Linked DNA regions of Macaca mulatta. The protein of the gene in region 1 purifies or fractionates together with the protein of each later gene. This does not show direct contact. Links are inferred from orthologs where the notes say so. Each region holds a gene or a part of one and is shown on either strand. Other genes may lie near its edges. The genes, in order: GLS and SIRT5.

Region 1 (4,538 bases):
TTTTACACATGATAGTTTTTTCCATGTTCTTCTGGTTAAACAGCAGATAGAAAAAAAAAAAAAAAAAACTTAAAACACAGCAAGGCTGTAACATGCCAAAGGTCAACATAACCTGTGGGTACAGCCAGATTTCCTAATTATTAATCTATTAAAATATTTTACAGTTCATTAGATTACTAAATCCGGTGATCAATTAATGACGCACCTGACATACACCTTCTAGTTTCATAAAATCATCTCATTAGGCTGGGCGCGGTGGCTCACGCCTGTAATCCCAGCAATTTGGGAGGCTCAGGGGGTGCGGATCCCTCAAAACCAGCCTGGGCAACCTCGCGAAACCCCATCTCTACAAAAAAAAAAAAAAAAAAAAAAAAATTAGCAGGTGGTGGCTGAGGTGGGAGGATCACCGGGGCCCCTGAGTTCAAGGCTGCATTGAGCCGTGATCACGCCACTGCACTCCAGCCTGGGCGACAGAGTGAGACCCTTTCTCAAAAGGCACACACACGACACAATAACGACACACCAACCCCCAAAACATCTTACTAAACTCCGTGGATCTACGCCTTTTAAACCTAATTGTTTCAGGAAATCGTCTAAAAACATTTTTTTGTCCTGGAATGGAATGTGTATGTAGGCTCAGGGAACAACTCAGTTTATCAGGTTCTTGGCTCTTTCTCCACAGGTCCAAAAGGATAAATGGATAAAGTGATGCTGAAATAACTTAGAGAACCCGTATTCCAACGCTTCTATTTTAAAAACAGTGAAGCAGTTTTTAAAATAGAAAAGTATCTACAATTTTGCTTTCAAGCAAACTAGCGTTAACGGAGTCATTGCTATTCAAAACTATTTTTGAAGTATCGGTGTACATTTAAAAATTAATTTTTAAAAAGCTGTCGTTTTCTGGATTCCGCACCGCCCCCATTCGTCGTCCTCCCCCCACCTCCACCCTCCATTGGCTTAAGTCACATAGCTGAAAGGATTGTGCTCATTTTTTCCAAAACATTTCACGTCTGGGTAGTAGCCAATCATGGAAAGTTTCAAGCAAATGTTACATTTGGGAGAGGGATGAAGCTCGTCCGGGGCTGCTCTCGGAGGATTCGCAGATGCCCTGACCTGGGAGCCAGATGCGAGCTGGGACCGGTCAAGCTCCAACAGCTCGGCCAGACTCAGCCCCGCCAAACCTGCTGACCTCACAGCCCTCGGCTGCGGGGGCTCTCGCCCATGAGTCTCCCCAACAGCTCGAATCCCCGGAGCTGAGGAGCCCATCGCTTCACAAATGCGAGAACCCAGAGCCCCTAGTACCCAACTAGGCTAGCCTCGGAGTTGGCACCGCGCGCGGAAAGCGGCTACTGAGGAGCCGGGCCTGGCTCAGCCGCTGCACACGTCAGTTTGACTCCTCTCCCCGCTCCCCACCAATCCCCCGCCCTACTCTCCGCGCACCCAGAGCCGAGAGAAATTTGACTGCCCTAATCGCCAATCAAAAGAGAGGTCGAGGATTTCAGCCAATCGGAACGGGCAAAGGGGGCGGGTCGTCGGCGAGAGCCGAATGTCTCTAGCCCTCCCCTGCGCTTTAGCCTCAGTGCAGAGCCTTAGGCGGTGTGAGGAGAACCGGTCGCGGCGAACCTAGGGACCAGCAGCAGCAGGAGCAGCAGCAGCAGCACCCGCATCCGCTGCGGGAGTCCGAGCCAGAACCACACCCACGTCGCTGCCCTTTCCTCTTGTCATTTCACTGCCCCGCCACAGACCGCGTTCCCCGAGGAAAGCGGCAGCCCACGCCCGGAGCATCCTCCCCTGTTGAGCGGCCGCTGACGGACCCGGCGGTATGATGCGGCTGCGAGGCTCGGCGATGCTGCGGGACCTGCTCCTGCGGTCGCCAGCCGGCGTGAGCGCGACTCTGCGGCGGGCACAGCCCCTGGTCACCCTGTGCCGGCGTCCCCGAAGCGGGGGACGGCCGGCCGCGGGCCCAGCTGCCGCCGCGCGACTCCACCCGTGGTGGGGCGGGGGCGGCTGGCCGGCGGGGCCCCTTGTGCGGGGCCTGTCCAGCTCTCCCTCGGAGATCTTGCAGGAGCTGGGCAAGGGGAGCACGCATCCGCAGTCCGGGGTGTCGCCACCCGCTGCCCCGGCGGCGCCCGGCCCCAAGGACAGCCCCGGGGAGACGGACGCGTTTGGCAACAGCGAGGGCAAAGAGCTGGTGGCCTCAGGTGAAAAGTGAGTGTCTCCGCGAGGCGCAGGAGGCCTCATTCCGCTCGGGGCCCAGGCTCGGGGTGTGTGGGGACCTGCGGTGGGGCGGGATAGGAACCGAGGTTCTAGAAAAGAGAAAGAAAGAGGTGCCGGGCGGCCTGCGCCGTCTGCGCCATGTGATTAGGCCCGGCCCCGCCCGAGCCTTCCCCGCCCGCGTCTCTCCGCCAGGCTCCCACTTCCCTTCTCCGCCCCCGGCGGGGGTCGCCCGGGTGGGGCCGCGGTGGGGCCTGATGGGCTCGCCTGGCGTCCTAGCGCAAGAGAGGCCGCTCCCCTGCCCGCGCCGCGTGCTCAGCTCCCTGGCTCGCGGCTGCAGCGCCTGGCCGCCCGCCCCAGCCGTTCGTGGGCGATGCCGCACGAACATCTCCACCGAGTGACATTCAGGAGTTGGGCTTTCAGCAGAGCCTTTACCTTCCTGACTTGTCGCCTTTCCTGGCTCGTTTCCGCTTTGCCTGCCCTCCCTTGGTTTCTGCCATCATCCCGTTGGAAACCAGATGTGACAGAGAGCTCTTTATATTTCTGAAGTGGCTACATCAGGCACGTGTAGAGCCATCTGGGGCACCGGAAACAATGTTTCAGAAGTGAGATTAGGAGGAATCGGGTTATGTGGCCGAGAAGATGGGGCACACAGTATAGACCACCTGTTTGCATTAGGGACCAGCTTTGGCCTGTCAGGTCTTCCGTGAGATGGGGAGATTTTTAGAAATAAAAGTTAAATAGCCAAGATGAAATGTGACATAATACACTAACTCAGTGAAAAATCTGAGTTAAGTAGGTTTTGTGACTTAGTTGTGATAGGATGTTGACTCATCCTGTATGTGTACAGCGCAGTAGTTTAGTCTTAAAGCAAAATTGGTTTTTCTTAATATGCAAAGCAGTCTCCTAAATATTTTAGTCTTATGTAATACAAATGGACCACTTTGTTTTCCGAAAATGGGTAAAAATTTACCGGCCTGCTTTCATTATACCTGTTTTTCTGGCTTTGTACGCTGACACTCTAACCTGTTTTGCTTCCCTTTTATTTCTGCTGCTATTTCCAGCTCTAGAGTTCCAGCTCTAGAGTCAAACTGAAAGTGAGAACATTCTTATAATTTCAATCTCACGCCTGCTTGATGTTTTCCTGTAATTGAAGTTGGGACCTTCCAAAAACTTTCGTGAAGTTCTTCTCCTATACTGAAAAAGATTATTTGAAAAAAGCACTTGATGAAGGGCGAAATTTGTGGTATTTTGTGATGTTGGTTTTGTGCCACGAAATAGCGTCCTGAGCATGGACAAGTTATTTAATATCTTAGGTTAGATGACTTAAATCCTTTCAAGTTCTGAAAAGCTATACTCCTGTTAAATTTGTACTTCTCTCATGTTTTAGGGACTAGTATGATACTTAATCTTATCTGGGACTCACTTTAACATCATCGGGTTTACCAAGCAAGTAACGAGTTTACATACAAGTGCCCAAGTTACAGAATTGCAAAATGCAGTCACTACCATTTAAAAGTTAATCTTAAAGGCTACAGGATGGGAACTGCTTTCTAGTAAAATTATGTCTTCAGGTCTGTGTCTCTGCAGTGGCTCTAGTGCCTCTCCTTTTTCCCACTTGTCAAATAGGAAATTGAGCTTCTTCTGTGATTTACTTGTCCAGAAGTTTCTAGTTTCATTGCCTTCTTAATACAAGTCACCTTTTAGCAATGGCCTCAAGGTTGTGAAGAAAGTATTTTAATTGGTTAAAGTTTCTATTTCCTGGATGATCTGGTTTCCAAATGTAGCTTTCCTCTTTTGGCTCCTTTCATTTTGCCTTTATGTGACAAACATTTCTCTTATCCTGGGAGATAAGCTCCCAGTTGATCCTGTTATCCTTTCTAATGCTTAGCCTCCAAAGCATAGGTCATCCCTCAATCAGCAGTCCACCTGGTATGCTAGCACTCACTCAGGACTGTGCCAGATTTTATGTAGTATTATTAAGAAATAACCATGAGAAAATTAAATTAACATTTTGTAAAAGGCTTAGAACAGTATTTGGCGTGTGTTAAATGACACATAACTATTTATTAAATAAATGAGAAAAAATTTCTGCTTCATTTTTGTAAAGCCTGTTAAAGAGATTGACCTTTGAATTTCAGGCTTGCACATGAAGGTTTTTAATGTTTTTAGTTTCCATAAAAATGTTTATCTTGAGAAATTGCTATACATCTGTCTTATATGAAACTACGTGAGTTGCACTGTTTACCTTTTGCTCTGTTGATAAATAAGTTCAGAGTAACTTTGATGCTTAACCACACCAATTTCATCAGTTCACATGACTG
Region 2 (3,811 bases), on another chromosome or scaffold:
TATTTCTCATTATCTAGCTCTTCTGAATTCTGAGTGTCTCAGAGCATGGATGTCTGTGTTTTCCATGCAGTTTCATGCTCTGTGCCTCAGGACATGGATGATGCGGCCTTTCCAGAGAGAATGCCCCTCTGTTAGAGCTGCGATTCTCGTGCAAGCTCCTGGCATACCTTCCGCAGGTTCGCTATTGGGCCTGACATACTCTTACCAAGAGGCCATCAGTGGAAAGGCTGTAGACAACAGCCAAAACCCGCTTTCCTTCCTGAAGCGGCCCTTGAATGGTTTGTTGGTGGAAGGATCCAGGGGCTGAATCTGCCTGGTCAGGCCATGGAGAATAACAACCAAGTCACCCCACTTTTCAGTGTTCTCCTTCAGCAAGTCTGTGCAAGCATGATGGTGATGTCACACTCACATCTGGCTAGTAGCAATTGCAGGACACATCTGAATTTCAGAGATGTGAAAATGGGGAAAAACGTCTATACTAAAACTGACAAAACCGAGGAGCCTGGGGGTGCAGCTTGTGTCATCTTTCCTCCTGGCCCCTGGCCCCCTCCTTCTCTCAGCTTTACTCACTCTTTGAGGTGGCCTCCCTTCTCCCTCTGCAATTGATCTGCCTCCACGTGCCAGGGGAGAGTGCCTCCGACAGCTCCAGGCTCTCCAGCTCAGCCACCGGCTCAGAAAATAAACCTCTGGGTGGGCTTGCTTGGTCCACATGCCCACCCTTCTGACCAAACATGACTGCAGAGGGATGGGCCCCACATGGGGGCCGTGTGGAGCATGTGGCCGAACTTGTATTTGGGATGTGACCCACAGCTCTATTGGCTCAGCACGCGAGAGAGCAGGGATGGTGGTCCCGAAGGAAGGACTCGGGGGCAGAACGGAGCAGCGCATGTCCACCGTGGTTGAAAGTGCTCTGCATGGTACCAGGTGCCTAGTACCCATTTCATAAACTCTGGCCCCCTTCAGCTCAATAAGTAGTCATTAGTATTAACAATTACTTTTTTCACTTAGTAGTTGATTACTTATTTATTGAGGTGCTTTTGTATAAAAGATTGAAGCTTTCTGAAATCAAAGTTAAGATTTTGTAAACATATCCCATGCCGTTGAACCTTTATCAGTCATATCAATAAATCATGCCCTCAGATTTACGTTGAGCTCCCTCTACCCTATTGGCCACTTCTGCCCACTTGAACACCACTCCAAGGTCATCTGACGGCACGTTAGTCATGGAGTTAGTTATTTTTCCTCCAGATTATAAAGTCCTTGAGGGCATATGTTCTTGACTGGCTTAAGAGTACTGCATGCCTCTGTTTCCCATGAAAGCTAGGGTAGGCCCATTTGCTAAAATGAAGTATGGCTCAGTGTGGCGGTGCACACCTATAGTCCCAGCTGCTCAGGAGGCAAAGGTAGGAGGATCGCTCGAGCCCAGGAGTTGGAAGCTGCAGTGAGCTATGATCGTACTACTATACTCCAGCCGGGGTAACTGGGTGAGACCAGAAAATGAAATGAAGTGTGGAAAGTGAAGTATCTTACACCCTTTCAGATGTGGAGATGATTGCTCTTGATTAGACTAAATTCTGGATTTCCTTCATATGTATTTTTCAGGTAGCTTATTTAAAACTCGATGTACCTCTTGTGGCGTTGTGGCTGAGAATTACAAGAGTCCAATTTGTCCAGCTTTATCAGGAAAAGGGTAATTATACCACACTACAGAATAAGTATATGTTGTTTTCTCCTTTAGGTCGGACATAAATGTGAGGAAATTGAACATTCATCAAAGATTCCCATTGATATGAGAAATAAGACTAAATACAAGGCTGGGTGCGGTGGCTCATGCCTGTAATCCCAGCACTTTGGGGTTACAAGGTGGGAAGATTGCTTGAGTTCAGGAGTTCAAGATCAGCCTGGGCAACATAGTGAGAAACCTGTCTCTACAAAAAAAAAAAAAAAAATTAGCTGGGTATGGTGGCACATGCCTGTAGTCCCAGCTACTAGAGAGGCTGAAGTGGGAGGGTTATTTGAACCTGGGAAGTCGAGGCTGCAGTGAGCTGAGATCATGCCACCGCACCACAGCCTGGGTGACAGGGAGACCCTGTCTCAAAAAAAAAAAAAAACAAATATAGCCTTGTGATAAAAGAAATATTTTGCTCACAACTTACAGTGTTAAGTGAAAACCACAGGGTCCTGAATTTATACACACATGAGTTTGTATAACTGCATATAGTTAAAAGACCAGAAGAAAATATAACAAAATATTAACAAGGAATATCAGGAGTGGAGGGATTATGGGTAATTTTTAATTTCTTCTTTATATCTTTCTGAATTTTCCTACATTTCTATGATGAACAAGCACTATTATTACAATAAGGGAAACATTTGAGGGTAGACACAATATTGAGGAAAATTCCATTTCAAAACAGTATAAATTATACAAGGAATGTATAATGTCATTGCAGAGGATACAAATGATGATGATGTATAAAGGTAAACATGAAGTTCCCTCTTAGCACACCCAGCTACTCCAGCCCTCCCTACACAGGAATTCTCTCACTGGCAGTACAACCACTGGTGATTTTTTTTTTTTTTTTTTCTGAGACAGAGTCTTGCTCTGTTTCCCAGGCTGGAGTACAGTGGCACAATCACACCTTACTGCAGCCTCCAACTCCTGGGCTCAAGCAATCCTCCTGCCTTAGCCTCCCAAGTAGCTAGGACTATAGGCACACACCACACTGAGCTAATTTTTGTATTTCTAGTAGAAATGCAGTCTCACTATATTGCCCAGGCTGGTCTTGATCTTCTGGCCTCAAGCAGTCCTCCCACTCTGGCCTCACCAAATGCTGGGATTATAGGCATGAGCCACTATGCCCAGTACCACTGGTAATTAATGGCCTGGGGTCCTTCCTTCTAATGCCCTTCCAAGTGAGCATGTATTAATTAGGAGTTTTACACCACATACTACCAGGCAAATATACAAACTGAGTTATGTTGTTTCTTTATTTTTTATTATGCCAATAACAATCTTTCTTTTCTAATATTATTTGCTTCAGTGCTCCAGAACCTGGAACTCAAGATGCCAGCATCCCAGTTGAGAAACTTCCCCGGTGGGTAAAAAGCTCTGATTTGTACCAGTGTTCCTGGTTACAAAAAAAATAGACATCAAAATCTAAACATGTATTTGGCAAGATGCCTCTTAAATCAAATGCACAAATGTGAAAACTAGCCTTGACCTCTAAGACCAAAAGTGAAAGGACAAAGGATGAACCAAAGTAGGATGAAAAAAATGATTTCTTTCCAACCCCTTTTTGCTTTGTGTTCTGGCGGGATCATTTCAGGTCGGGAAAGTTTCTGAAGCTGTTGTGTGACAGGTGGTTACCCAGTGTACAGAAAGCATATGGGCTGACCTATAACTGGTCAAATAACATCACTGGCATTATTAATCCATGGTTAAGGAGGCAATGAATAAGGAGGCAATGAAAGGACGTGAATAGGAGAGGTTACAGGACCCAACAGAATGTTCATAGATAAAAAAAAAAAAAAAAAAAAGGAAGATTTTGATGCCAATTTTTCAAAACCAGACATTAAAACAGCACTTCTATAATCTGTAATTGGATCAGAGGTTTTTTTGTTGCGGGTTTTTTTGTTTTTTTGGGTTTTTTTTGAGATGGAATCTCACTTGATGTCCAGGCTGGAGTGCAGTGGCGCGATCTTGGCTCACTGTAACCTCCGCCTTCTGGATTCAAATGATTCTCTTGCCTCAGCCTCTCGAGTAGCTGGGATTACAGGCGCCCGCCAGCATGCCCGGCTATTTTTTGTG

What was found.
Region 2: the proteins of GLS (region 1) and SIRT5 purify together in Homo sapiens (affinity purification with western blotting; 3 studies listed by BioGRID and IntAct, with this or other methods). This does not show direct contact. The link is inferred for Macaca mulatta from reciprocal best matches to the Homo sapiens genes GLS and SIRT5.

What each region holds. Positions count from the first base shown.
Region 1 is NC_133417.1:95,919,359-95,923,896, forward strand, and holds the start of GLS (glutaminase kidney isoform, mitochondrial), read left to right. Parts: upstream 1-1,578; 5' UTR 1,579-1,822; coding exon 1,823-2,208; intron 2,209-4,538. UniProt on the Homo sapiens protein: Catalyzes the first reaction in the primary pathway for the renal catabolism of glutamine. Plays a role in maintaining acid-base homeostasis. Regulates the levels of the neurotransmitter glutamate, the main excitatory neurotransmitter in the brain.
Region 2 is NC_133409.1:169,519,497-169,523,307, reverse strand, and holds part of SIRT5 (NAD-dependent protein deacylase sirtuin-5, mitochondrial), read left to right. Parts: intron 1-1,602; coding exon 1,603-1,690; intron 1,691-3,044; coding exon 3,045-3,098; intron 3,099-3,811. UniProt on the Homo sapiens protein: NAD-dependent lysine demalonylase, desuccinylase and deglutarylase that specifically removes malonyl, succinyl and glutaryl groups on target proteins.